2 linked regions of the Nothobranchius furzeri genome follow. The protein of the gene in region 1 purifies or fractionates together with the protein of each later gene. This does not show direct contact. Links are inferred from orthologs where the notes say so. Each region holds a gene or a part of one and is shown in the gene's direction. Other genes may lie near its edges. The genes, in order: ccne2 and cdk2.

Evidence for each region.
Region 2: the proteins of ccne2 (region 1) and cdk2 purify together in Homo sapiens (affinity purification with mass spectrometry; 10 studies listed by BioGRID and IntAct, counting the BioPlex papers as one, with this or other methods). This does not show direct contact. The link is inferred for Nothobranchius furzeri from reciprocal best matches to the Homo sapiens genes CCNE2 and CDK2.

What each region holds. Positions count from the first base shown.
Region 1 is NC_091745.1:67,772,729-67,778,927, forward strand, and holds the end of ccne2 (G1/S-specific cyclin-E2), read left to right. Parts: 5' UTR 1-526; intron 527-1,998; 5' UTR 1,999-2,023; coding exon 2,024-2,037; intron 2,038-2,286; coding exon 2,287-2,368; intron 2,369-2,454; coding exon 2,455-2,508; intron 2,509-2,941; coding exon 2,942-3,084; intron 3,085-3,376; coding exon 3,377-3,512; intron 3,513-3,586; coding exon 3,587-3,733; intron 3,734-3,814; coding exon 3,815-3,910; intron 3,911-3,979; coding exon 3,980-4,114; intron 4,115-4,195; coding exon 4,196-4,307; intron 4,308-4,429; coding exon 4,430-4,587; intron 4,588-4,696; coding exon 4,697-4,807; 3' UTR 4,808-5,910; downstream 5,911-6,199. UniProt on the Homo sapiens protein: Essential for the control of the cell cycle at the late G1 and early S phase.
Region 2 is NC_091743.1:49,087,251-49,094,849, reverse strand, and holds the start of cdk2 (cyclin-dependent kinase 2), read left to right. Parts: upstream 1-3,697; 5' UTR 3,698-3,839; coding exon 3,840-3,955; intron 3,956-7,100; coding exon 7,101-7,178; intron 7,179-7,261; coding exon 7,262-7,382; intron 7,383-7,475; coding exon 7,476-7,599. UniProt on the Homo sapiens protein: Serine/threonine-protein kinase involved in the control of the cell cycle; essential for meiosis, but dispensable for mitosis. Phosphorylates CABLES1, CTNNB1, CDK2AP2, ERCC6, NBN, USP37, p53/TP53, NPM1, CDK7, RB1, BRCA2, MYC, NPAT, EZH2.

The sequences.
Region 1 (6,199 bases):
CACGCGGTTGTCGCTGCTCGCGCGCTCATTGGATTGACGTCACGGGAAATCCGCCCATAGGCGGGACCCGTACGCGGAAGCAGTTTCAATTTCGTTTAAAAAACGAAGTATAACTTCGCGAAATAACAAGATCTGCGTATTGGACCAACTCTAAAGCATTCTTGTACGTGTTTCGCGTCGTTAAAATTTAACCGCGAAGTACGGAAACAGTTATATGCTTCATAAAATGTTACAGCGATTATGTGGCCGTTACAAATGAATGCAGACTTTAGGAAAACACGGCAAATAACTCTTCGAAAAGTGTCTAAGGCTTAGAATACGTTACCGTAAAACAGAGCAGGGTCATTCTGCCCGGTTTGAGCTCCTTTCTGTTGACCTTCTGTCAAATCACCGGTCAGATTTGAACATTTAGCGCGTTTGTGTTAACCGGGAACAAGCATGCGCACTGGCGCCCTTGTCTTTATGCGGATATAAGGATTGGCGCCGGCGCCACAGCTGATGCAGTCATTCATTCTTCACTGAAGAGGTAAGATCACCGAGCTGGAGCTGACAGCTGACCTGATCAGAGTAGCTATTTTAACTATTTTATACTGTTGTAATCCGCTCTTGGGTTGTCTACTTTAGGGGTTTATGCTGTAATGTGTCTTTATCCAAGTGGAGTTTTGTAAAAACAACTTTAAATCAGAGATGGAAAATAGCATGCAGAATAATAACAATTCTTACTTTTATTCATCAAACGAAAACTGCATTATCACTGTATACTGCTGTACCTCGGTTTGAGTGGTTTGCATATTTATCCTCAGTTAAAGTTTGGGGAAACTAGTTTGTACAAACATTAGGTTTTAACTAAGTTTTCGTCGTCTTATCTGCTTTGTCAGCCGTTTCCCTAGACCTTGCTGGTATTCAGATGTTTGTGTGCTGAAGCTAAAGATGACCAGTTTATCTGCATGTTGGGGACAGTCGGTTATTATTGACCTAGTTAGCTGAAACCGGGCTTAGTTCGCTAATTACAGTAGCTACCCACCACATTGTTGCCGCGACTTTAACCGACTTTATTGGCGTTAAACGGGCTCTAAAACAAGCCCCTGTTAAGTATGTGGTAGTAAAGAGGCTATACTAGCAGTTTAAACCAGTTTAAAGGTTAAAACTAGTCGTGTATACTAGTTTTCCCTCGCAGACGTTGGGCAGGTACCGAGAGGCTGGGCTGAAATCCTCCCGCTTCTACGTTGTGGAAATTGGCGCGTGTTTGAGTTTCAATCCTCAAAAAGACTTAAAAATACCAACATTTTGACCACCAAAACTAGTCTAAACAGACAAAAAGACGTGTGCCTCGTGGATGAAGTCGATAAACTTTAGTTAAAATGTCTTATTTTTGAACTTTTTTTGTCTAAAGTCGAGAGACTAATCAGCCCCCCTTCTTCTGGGCTCTAGTCGGCTCCATACTAGCTTACAGAACTTTCTGGGCAAATTTCGACTCTTTATTATTAATTTTAATCACTTTTTCTTATCGGTTGTGATCCGCGGACGTGTAGAAATGTCCCACCTGGTCAAGCTGGTTGAGTTTGCAGCCTAGTTTTGGTTTTATCGGGTGACTTCGTGCCTCTCTTGTGGCGGTCACAAGCTAACGCTACATCTGCTGCGACAAGCTAGTCCGTTCATAAATCAGTTTCTAAGCTGATCCTGGGGATTCATACCTCTGTGGTTACTGTGACATTTGGGTGGCATCACTGGGTATTTATAGAGGACACTTAATATATTATTATAACCGTATATATACATAATAATGGGATATATTCTACAGCATGTATTGGAGCCATTTTGGGTCTGCTTGTGAACCCTCATTTCATATTGATCATTTTGAGGGGAACCAGAGAATGGCCTCTTCACTTAGTCATTAGGTGTTAGATCAAGTTTGTAAGAACAGTCTCCCAAATCTGTCCTAATACATGTTTAATTGTATGATTAATCACCAAAATCATCTTTTTTTTCTATTTGCAGGGGAGCAAAAACTAAAGTCAGCACCATGTCCAGACGCAGGTATGCGAGTGTACAACAGTTGTGTAACACTTTACTGGTGACATAGTTTGACACATTTATTTGATTGTACTTAAAATAATTTAACAGAATTTACATGTGAGCTGGTGATTATTAAATCTTTTCTAGCCCAAACATCCTACAATATGCAATTATGTTCTGTAGCATTTCCTTTTTCTATCAAAATTGATTTTATTGTGGTTAGAGGATGCTTATTGTGTGTTAGTAATAATAATTGATATTTGTGTTCAGTGGTCGTATCACTCTTCAAGCCAGAGATTCAAACACACCTGAGCCAACAGTCAGAATCCCACTAAAGAAAAGAAAGACAGAGGTTTGTTTTATTTTTAGTTTGTGTTTGTTTCTTTAGTCGTGACATCATGTTGTAGCAGTTTGACAATTACCCCTTTTCCCCCACAGCTCTCAAAGAAGAATCTCCAACCTGCTGCCAAGAAGCAAAGCTATGAAATACAGGTGTGTGTGTGTTCGTGTGTGTGATAAGTACTCTAGTACATACTATGTATTTTGATGGCCCACCCTTCTATTTAATAAGTCAGTTTTAATGTTTATTTTTAATAAACTTATACTTTATTACAATGTTTCTAATTATAAGATTTCCATTTTGAAGGTTTAAAAAAAAATGTTTTACTACTCGGATATGGTCAGTCTAAAGAGATGCACTTGAGGATTATCATAAGTTATGTAGTACCGATTTGTCAACAGTAGGTGTCGCTGTTTATGTAGAGTAAAAGCCTATTTTCAGAAAACTACTTAAGTTTTATGCAAACTATTTTGAATATTCCTATATCTGGTTAAAAAACAACTCCAAATATTATTTTATAGAACATATCAATAACATTTTTATTTGAGACTTTATTTTAAGTTCATTTTGTTTCTGTTCTCCTAGAAGTGCTGGTTGGAGGATGGTGCGAGTCCATGTGTCCTCATTGAAACGCCTCACAAAGAGCTGGAGCCTTCAGACCCGTCTAGTTTCAAACAGTACCGATTCAAGAACCTCTTCATCAAGGCCTCCCCTATCCCCTGCCTCAGGTAAGACCAGATTTTACACGTCAATGACGCCATCATGCCTTTTCACTCCACGGTGAAATGGTCCTTTGTCCCCTGGCTGACACTCCGCCCACACATGCATTCAAAGTTTACAGCTTTTGTTTACTTAATAGTTTAGCAGAATGTGTGATTTGATCAAGTTTCAGTGTTTCCCCTCTCGGCAGGCGAGTCGTGGGTTGTGTAATGTGTTTAGGTTTTGCCTCTGGACCAGTGAGCTGAAGCAAGTCTCCACATTTAGGTCGGCACATGTTAATAACGAGCTTTTGTGTCGCAGCTGGGCAAGTTCCGACGATGTGTGGATTAAAATGCTGAATAAGGAGCTGAAGTACATTCATGACAAGAGTTACCTGCAGCGACACCCCAAACTGCAGCCCAAGATGAGGGCGATCCTGTTGGACTGGCTTCTAGAGGTGAGTCGTGGAGCTGGGCTGAATACAGCGTTACTCTGATGTCGTCTTGAGTGCCGTTTTGTTTCTCCGTGCAGGTGAGTGAGGTGTACAGCCTCCACAGACAGACGGCGTACTTGGCTCAGGACTACTTTGATCGCTACATGCTGACTCAGGAGAACGTCAGCAAAGACCTCCTGCAACTCATCGGCATCACAGCTCTGTTCATCGCCTCCAAGATCGAGGTGAGTCCCACCTTTGTGCACTTTTAGTTCCAACTGTTACTTTAATACTGAATTAATATAAGTTTTGTTTTTCTTTTCCAGGAAATCTATCCCCCGAAGATCTACGAGTTTGCCTACGTCACAGACGGAGCGTGTGACATGTGGGACATCCAGCGCACAGAGCTGCAGATATTGAAGGTGCGTGATTCGTTCTCACCTGTGTGTTTGGTAACAGTCGTTCTGGTGTTGACTGGATTGTAATCTCAGACGTTAGACTGGAACTTGTGCCCGGAGACCCCCATCTCCTGGTTGAAGTTGTACGCTCAAGTAGAAGCTCAAAAAGATGGTGAGAACTTCCTGGAGCCTCAGTTCTGTCAGGAGACCTACATCCAGATCACGCAGGTACGTTCAGCGCTCTAACTAGTTTTTTTTTTTTTTTAAGGGTTTGTGAAGTCATTTGTGCTGATTGTTGTTTTATTACAGCTGCTGGATTTGTGTATGATGGACATCAGCTCGTTGGACTACAGCTACAGTGTTCTCGCTGCCGCCGCCTTCTGCCACTTCTCTTCGTTTGACATTGTTCATAAAGTCTCAGGTGAGTACTTAAGCTTTTAAAAAGCTTCATTCAGTGACTCGTCTTTCCTGTTTCACCAGTCCTTTATGTCTGTTGGCTTGTTCAGATAAGAGGTTAAACTTGTATTAATGATTATTCTGCAGGCCTGACTTTGGACAGCGTGGTTTCTTGTTATCGGTGGATGAGTCCCTTCATGGAGACGCTGCGTTCTGAAGCCAAGCCTCAACTCAAGAACTTCTCTAAAGTCAAATCTGACGATCGACACAACATCCAGACACACGTGGCCTATCTGGAGCTGCTGGTGAGAAAAACTTTTGTTTATATAAATGATGTAAAGTTTGCATCATTTAAACGTGTGTGTGTGTGTGTGTGTGTGTGTGTGTAATTCAAACTTTTTTTTTTTCATGCAGAGAAAAGTCCAAGAGCATCAGGCTGACACTTCAGAATGTCAGTGGTCACCTGTTGCCGTGGCAACAGTCCTAACTCCACCCAGCAGCGCAGAGAAATTTGCCAATCCCTGATGTGACGACGACCACCGTCAGGACGAGCTACCTCCCTGAAGCGACTGCCTATTCGCTGATCAGAAAAGTTTTTGTTTTTATGTTTTCGTAACACTAAGCTCTGATTTCTGACCAGACGGAGTAGTTTTCAGCTAATTGCTGCGTCAGGAAATCTGGTGTTTTCCTAGAAACCTCTCGGATCTCCAGAGCAACTCGGATGATATTTTTGATTTTCATGAAGTATTATTGCGGTCTGAATCAGCCGCGGCGGTCTAGATAGACTTGAAACTGGCTGCTGTCAGACCGAGACGCGGCGGTGAAGCTGGTGGGTTTTGTGCCTGTGAGAATTTACTGGTGCTTCTCTTATGCTGGGGCATGATGCTTCCAGATAGTGCTTCAGGAAATTGGGGGGGAGCCTGATTTAGTGTTTTTAAAACTTAAAATCCATCTTAAACGGGTGGAAATGGAAGCGTAATGTTTTTTCTTTTTACCTGAACTATACTCAGGCATGTTTCCTGTGTATCACCACCGAGTTAATAGACTTGCAAAGCATTTCATATCTACAGGAGCCACAGGTGTGTTTAAATTTTTTTAAATTTTATTTTACCTGATCTGCTTGTGGCTGAATTCCATTTAATATTTTATTTTATTGTGTGTAACCGTGTTTAGAACTTGGTTGCAGCTTTTGTTCGTTACATTCCTGGGAAACTTGACAACTGCAGATTTTTACGCTTCCTTTTTAAGAGCTTGTATTTATTGATGAGCCTTAGTGTGTGTAAAGAAAGAAAGTGTGAAGTCGTTCTGACCGATCGCTCGCTGCCAAAGGCAAAGGGCTATTTATGATTTAGCTCCGTAACACCTGTTGCAATTCTGCATTAAATGTTGTATATTTGTATTTAGTGCCTTCCGTCTGTCGAGGGGAAACAAATAAACTGTACATGAATTTAATTTAAGCTGCAGCAAGCTGAAAGGTGGAAATTAAAACCTTGTGGCTGTAAACTTATGTAGTGAACCAACTGAGCTGTATATAAATGTGAATGAATGTACGATGTAAAATGAGCATTTCAGAAAGTCTAATTTTCTGCTATATTGCAATTTTTTTAAATGAATGATAAATATTTTCAGTCTAGTTTTTTCTTTGGTTGGTGCTTCAGGTTTGATGTTTTCAGTCTCCTAAAATCATCTGTTAAACTTTGTGAAGTGGTACGATGACAGGGTTTAAGCTTATTGTTCTAACAATGAGGAGGTAATCATGAGTTAACATATGACTTAAAGGAATGAAACGATTAAAAAAACGAAATATTAGGAGCAAAAAAAAGCTGAAAATATTTATATCAATTTTTTTCAAATTAGCATCTCATTTCTGTCTGGAAACGTTAGAATTAAATTAAGCCAATAAAAAAAAAGTTAGAC
Region 2 (7,599 bases), on another chromosome or scaffold:
TAAAGCTTTTTATTCTGTATAATTTGGCCTTTTCAGGTCTCTTATCACAGCGACGGCGGGTGGTTTTCTTCAGCGATGATGTCTCATGGCTGTGAGGCTGTTCAGGCTGCACCACATGTGACCCCTCGTGCTCACAACACAGCTCAGGAGGAAATAAATCCCCGGAAAAGAGCACCTGACTCAACATACCACAAATAGTCAACCTTTTCCCTCTGCTTTGTGTCATCTAATGATTGTCCCGACTCAGTGGGAGCAAATTTGAACCAAAATCAGAATAAATCTTCACTTTCTACAAAAATTAAACACGAAAATGACAACCAAATCTACATACTACTTTCTTTTATTTCTAATGTCCATAATGGCATTTTCTTGAAAAAAAAATGAAACCAGAAGAGAAATGATGAATAAAATAGTCTGAAGTGTTTGGTAATGAACGTTTCCTGATGTTAACAAATTTATACTGAACATTTTCTAAGAAACCAAATCTGATTTAAGAACACTTATAAAGCAAAAATAATGAGAAATGATAGCTTTGTAGAGAAAGGGTTTGTGTAGTAAATCTGTTGTGTGCTAAGCCTCAGGGATTTGGTCATGTGCATTATTAAAATGTGAATTATTTCTATGTCTGAACAGACACAGAAACCGTTCCTCACAGAACATCTGACTTGAGATGGTTCATCATATATTTCTTATGGAGCTACTCAAGCTGCCATCCGTTTGGTGTGAAGAAGCCAAAATTTCAAATGAAAATGTCACGTTAAATAAGTTCTGGTCAGTCAGAGTCCCCTTTGTGACTGGATGTTTACTAATGTGGAAACACTGCCTTAGATGAGATGGTGGTGCTTCTCACCCAGAGGGCAATCCAGATAGTCTGAACCATGAACAGTGGTGTCAACATGGTCTAAAGAGCATCAGATACATTCTTCAGGAGGAGCAGCAGATCTTTTTTATTTCAAAGTTCAGCTAAAATGTTTAATCCTGCCCTTCCATCTAGAGATGAACGCTGTTGTCTGCATGCCTGGGAGAACCACGTGAAGGAGTCAGTCAGTCCCTCATAATACGCCACTGTGCTGTAAGATCTGTTGTCATGGAAATAATCAGGTTTTTGTTTCTAAACAATAAAATATATTCACAGAAATTATGAAAATGATGAATGGAAAGAGTACAGACAACAGAGCTAAGAGTCTATGGGATGCAAATAAAGACAGAAATAAATAAATGTTTGTTTCCACTAGAGGGCACTACTAACTCTATTTTGTTCTGTCACTGCACAAGATTACCATATACATTTACCACATTACACACAAAAGGATCAAAAGCAATTTAATGTCCTTATCAAATGTTCTGAAAAAACAATGAAGTCATATTTTGAGAAAAATTTCTTTTTTTTATATGTCTTTGTTAAACCATTTTTAACCTCCACTTTTTTATCTTTGGTGTCTTATGACTTGGACACATTGTTTTTGTCTGGAATAAAGTTTGATTGACTGAAAAAGCTATGAGAATGTGGAAGAAAGTAACAATAATGTAAGGTATGTTTACCTTTTTCTTTCTTCTCATTCATAGATTTTTGTGTTGTTTCAGTGCATCAAACATACACAGGTACAAAAAAGTTTTGAACAATAGGGAGAAAAAAAGACAATATATAAATAGGTGAACAAAATGTTTAAAAGTCATTAGGCCATTATTAATGAAGTGCAAAAAAGAAAATGTTGAAATAAATAAATAACAGTTTCATCTCATGTTAAGAATCGGTTAGTTTGTTTAATCTTTAAATATAAATTTCAGGTTTTGTAAAGGCAAAAAAATTAGCCTCTAAGGCAGTGAACCTCAACTGGAGGCTCGTGGGCCACATTCGGACCACCAGACCTTTCCACCTGGGTCCCAAGTAGAGCCCTGCACTGAAGCCGTGGGCCCTCGGGTCGGCCCGGCCCGACGGCCCGAGGGCCGGGCTTCGGGCCAACGACTGTGTAATTACCTCGGACACGGGCCGGGCCGGGTGCCTTTATTTTTAAGTGAATTCATTAAAAAAAACTGAAATACTTAAACGCAGCAGCACCTGCCTGCTTCTCACGCACTGGCACCCATTAGCTCTGTTAAGGTCTGTGTGGTTTATAAATGTGCCTATATAAACAAATTCTCAAACTACTGATTGAAACATGTGCCCCTATTCTAATATGCCATTTTATGTCCACTTTGATATGTCAAAAACCATTCGTTTATTCTCATGAAAATGGCAGCATTCTATTTTTCTGTTAATAAATTCGCTCTGCAGTAAAAAAAAAATACAGCATTCACTACTGGGTTGGAGAGCGCATTTTCAGAGTGGCAGATTAAATTTACAAACGCTATATTAATTGGGGGTGTTTCTGAAAATGTGCTCTGCAGTTAGAAAATTAGAATGCTGCTTTTTTTTTCCTAATTGCACAAGAGCGCATTTTCAGAGCAGATAAAATTTACAAACGCATCCAATTAATATAGTGTTCGTAAATTTCATCTGCTGCTCGAAAAATACGCTGTTAGAAAAAAAAGCTGCATTGAATGCTGTTTTTCTTTCTTTCCTTTCTTTTTTTTTTTTTTTTTTTTTACTACGGAACGCTTCCCACAGATAATTAGAATGCTGAGCCTTCTATCACGCTAAAACATCATGAAAGGTTAAAGAAAAAAAGTCGGCCTCGGGCTCGGGTTGGGCCAGAGAATCCTGAAAACTTTTTCGGACTGGTTTGGGCTGGGGCTCCACCCCCTCGGGCCGGGCGGACACGGGCTCAGATTTTAGGCCTGTGCAGGGCTGTAGTCCCAATTCTTTGCCCCCCCCCCCCCCCCCCCCCCCCCCCCCAATAATTGTTTACATTCTCCAACCACAACTAAAACTACAATGAAGACAGTTTAGGTGGAAAACAAAGTCATTTAAATTATTGATAAATTAAGATACAATAATGCTTTTAGTTATTTTAGAGTGCATCTGGCCCGTCTACTGTAAAAACCTCAGGACCAAACTTGGTTGAGGACTCCTGTTCTAAGGTAAAGAAATTAATTAAATGTTTAAAAAACTAACAATGGCAACTTTAAACTTATATGATGGTAGGCTAAAATGGAATTAATGTTTGTGAAATTAGATCTAATTGACAAGAAAATAATTTTATAAACACATTTTTTACAAACAAAAGCACTCCACATCCCTCTAAGATGACGTCAGGGTACGTCATCCATTTTGATCATGTGACCAGTGAGGGCTGCTCATTTAGTGTCTCCGTCTCATCCCAACTTCTGGTGATTTCTAACAACACGTTAAATTTAACAAACACCAGAAGTACTTTTGTGAACATTTTTATCTAATCTAAAGCGTTGGATTCATTCATAGCGGTCCCCTGTGAGAACACTGCAAGATAAGCAATAAAATAAAGAGTACAGTGCCACCCATTCGAAATAATCGGTGTATCATGAAGTCAAAAACGAACGCTCCTCTTACAACGCGGGAAACGCCGCTGTGTTGGTTCAGTTTTGTGGACTGAGCTGCGACCGTCGCGCTCCCCTTTTGAATTAATCCACATAATTACTATCGAGGCTGGGCACACATGCCCATATACCTGTTTTTGTGTTGTCGTTTGATCTGAGAGCGTTTCATCTTCTACACGAACCCCCTATCTCCCGCTCGGCTGTTTCCGGACTGGCCGAAGGGAGCCGGGGCGGCGGTTAGTGTCGGTTTGTCCCCGCGTTGCTCCTTAACATCGCCCCTCTGTAGCCACCGAGCCGCTGTCGCTGCTGCTGCTAGCGCGCACACAAAGAGACCAGTATTGCTAAGCAGCTAAACTTTAAACAGTCCCGCTCTTGTAAGCAAAATGGACTCATTTCAGAAAGTGGAGAAGATAGGAGAAGGGACGTATGGAGTGGTGTACAAAGCCAAGAATAAAGTGACCGGAGAAACTGTTGCTCTGAAGAAAATCCGCCTGGACACGTAAGTTAAGAGGCAGGAGTTATCTCCAGAGCTAACGCCGCGCTAAAAACATCCACTAATGCTTCAGATTTTTTTTTTATCCACGACCTCGTGGCTGGTGATCGTCTGCCCACTTCCTGCAACAACAGAAATAAGCGTTTCTCGTTAAACTGTAATTATTCAGTGCCTAATATAACCTCCACACAGGACTAAGTGACGTAGCATCCTTGGATATAACCCTGTAGGTTAGCTGGATATGTTTGTTTATGTTTATGCTTATGTGCTTAGCAGACGCTTTTACCCAAAGCGACTTACAATTTTTTGCAAGTCGCTTTGGGTAAAAGCGTCTGAGCAAGTGAAATATGTAACTATTTAAGGGAATTTTTCATTGTCTTGTGTTTTAGTCTACGATCAGATGTTACTAGTGAGTGATCAGAAGTAGTTTTCTGACTCTACATTGAATGCTATTCTGTTTCATTCCTTTGGTTGATTTATTAGTTGAATGGACATGTTTTATAGTTTTGCTGCTGTAGGAGGGTACCTTTCAGTATCTCAAGCTGTCAAACTACCAACATACCCAAACTTCAGCACTCTGAAAAAAGCATTTGGATCCTTATCGATGTCTTCCAACACAAATACCAGAGATGATCAAAGTAAAAACAGAAAGCAGTTTTCAAATGATGATTTAATTTATTTATTAAGGAAACAAACAACCAATCAACACCCTTAGCTGCATAAACATCCATCAAGCATCTGTGAGAACTAATAACAAGGCTTACATTGCTGTGAAGGATTCCTAGACCACATTTTTTTGACATTGTTTTATTCCAGCCAAACGAGTGGGTTGACATGTTTGAAGTCATGGTTCCATCAATTACAGTAAGTGGTCAAGGTCCTGAAGCAGCCCCAGACCATCACTCTGCCACCACCGTGTCTGACTGTTGGTATATTGATGTGTTTCTGAAGTTAGTTTTTCACCAAAATAGTCTCACCACTCCAGAGAATATTTTCAAAAAAGTCTCAAAGATGCTGTTGACTGAAAAACCATTTTAAATATGTTTTTCCTGATTATGGTTACTGAGTTTTTCATGCAGACTGAACATGAAAATAGTCTCCCACACCTTTCTCCTGCATTAGCTTCTGATAGAAAATAGACGGTGAAACTAGAATTAGAAAAGCCTGACAGATCTACGTCACACTGAATAACATTCATGGACTCACCCATCTTGGGTGTTGTTGGATTAGTGTCCAGTAAATTTTTTGTTCTAGTGTCCAGGAAACAGCAGAGAACTTCTCAGCTAATTCAAGCTAACCTTTAGCATTAGCAATGCCACCACACAGCCGAAGTTCCTCCAGCCTTGTGTTATTTGTGGAGATAAAATGTCTATGTTGCAAATCAGTGGTCGAGTTGCATTGCTGTTGTCCGATCCGGAGTGAGATGTCCAAATATCAGGAAAAAGACTCCAAATCCTGCCATCAGAAGGTCTGCTGTGATGTGGGCAAATTTTAGGTCAGAAGAATGGTGCACTGGGATATTTCTTCCCCCTGCAAACAACTTACTCGTCATTTATTAGTACTAGAGACTACTACAAAAATGCATTGATTAAACAAGTGTTCCACTTTCTAAAATATCATCAAGATGCTCTTTGGAGACGGTGAGATGGGTCTTTGTGTGGTCACCAGAGATGTTTTACGGAACTGTCCCATAGAGGCTTTTTTGTCTCATCTCTTTCTTATTGTTGAATTTGACCTTAAACTAGCAAAGGCACCATCTGCTGCTGTGTGGGATCATTTAGCGTACTCGATAGCCATGTTTCCACTATTGAAGTTCCAGGAAAACACAATGGATCAGTGTTTTCAGCCGTTGTGTCTGTACAAAATCAGCCTTTTCAGGACTTTGCAAATACGTCAGCATATCATCAGCATGTTTGCAATGAGTGACGTCACTGATCAGCGCGTCCATAGACAATTAAAACATTTTAAAAGTGTAAGAATATAGTAAGAATTTTACAGTGAGAAAGTCCCAAAAGAGTCTAATGTTTCAGTCATTTTGGAAGAAAGGTTACACTGAAACATATTTCATATCCAGCTGGTTGTGGGGATTGCCACTTTTTCTCCATTCAAAACAAAAGGAGGGTCGTAACTACTGTTTACCATCAGTGAGTGAGGGGGTGCCATATCTACTGCAAGCTAATACCGCAGCGCCGACAGTTGTAATTTGACAACTGCCGGCAAAAAGCACAGGATAAAATTTTGACTTCATTTCTACATAATGCACCTTTAAAATTTTTATTCCGTCAAAGTACGCCATAATTTAATCCGTTCGAGGTTAGGGTTGCAGGGATTAACCGGTTTGACTGTTAACCTCGGTTAACTCCCCGTACAGACGTATCCAACACCATCTATAAAAACAATAAAAAGACAATATGGCGTGAGCCGTTAGGACGAAAACAAAAGCGAAAATGAACGCGAGCATGCAGCAGAAGCAGTGACAACAACCATCGGGACCATTTGGGATATGAGGAGAGCAGCTGCGTGACATGAAAAGCATTTTGCGTTTTACTCATCATCGGTGTCTGATATGGCAATTTGTAGAATAAATTCATAAATGAATGCCTAAAACAATAAATGTGTAAGGGAGTATATGTTTTTGCAGCACTGTATAATCCTTGTTAAAGGGAATGACCGTATTCTAGGGATGGACAATATATCAGCATCAATATCGGTATTGGCCAATGTTAGTCATTTTTTAACATATTGGTATCGGCCTGATAAATAAAAGTGGGCCGATATGAACAACCGATATTTTTTCAATCTTGTCTCCATTTGTTTATCTGTTTCAGAGGGTGAGGGGGTGATGTGTATTTGTTTAGTCATGTGACAGTGAATGAAATCATCTCAGAAGCATGTGTGTGTTGTGTGTGTACATAATACGGTAAATTCAGCTTTAATAATTTTCATTCTATACAAAATCTGTTGATTTTAGACAGATTAATGTCAGTATAACAGTCTAGGCAAATATCGGTTATCGGTCATAACAGCGATTTTAATATCAGCATCGGCCCAAAATTTCATATCGGTGCATCACTACTGTATTCAGCAATGCCTGCTTGCTGGTCATTATTTGTTTTGGTGTAAAGCTCTGGTTTGTTTGTCCCTAATGCAGAGAAACAGAAGGCGTACCAAGCACGGCCATCCGGGAAATTTCACTCCTCAAAGAACTCAGTCACTCAAATATTGTCAAGTAAGTTCTTAGTGTTTGAGCCACGGCCAGAGCACGTCTGAACCGTTGCCAACTGTCATCATTTGTTTTTGTTTTTTTATTAGACTCCAGGACGTCATCCATACGGAGAACAAACTTTACCTTGTTTTTGAGTTCCTTCATCAGGATCTGAAAAAGTTCATGGATTCCTCCTCAGTCACAGGAATCCCGCTGCCTTTGGTCAAGGTAGTCATCACTTTGTGACTGTCAGTCCTCAAAATGTTAGGATTGAATCTTCTGTGCAAATTAGATCTGATCTTACTTTTGTTGTTCTTTTAGAGTTATCTCTTCCAGTTGCTGCAAGGCCTGGCCTTCTGTCACTCCCACAGAGTTCTTCATCGAGACCTGAAGCCTCAAAACCTGCTCATCAACGCCCAAGGTGAGATCAAGCTGGCTGACTTTG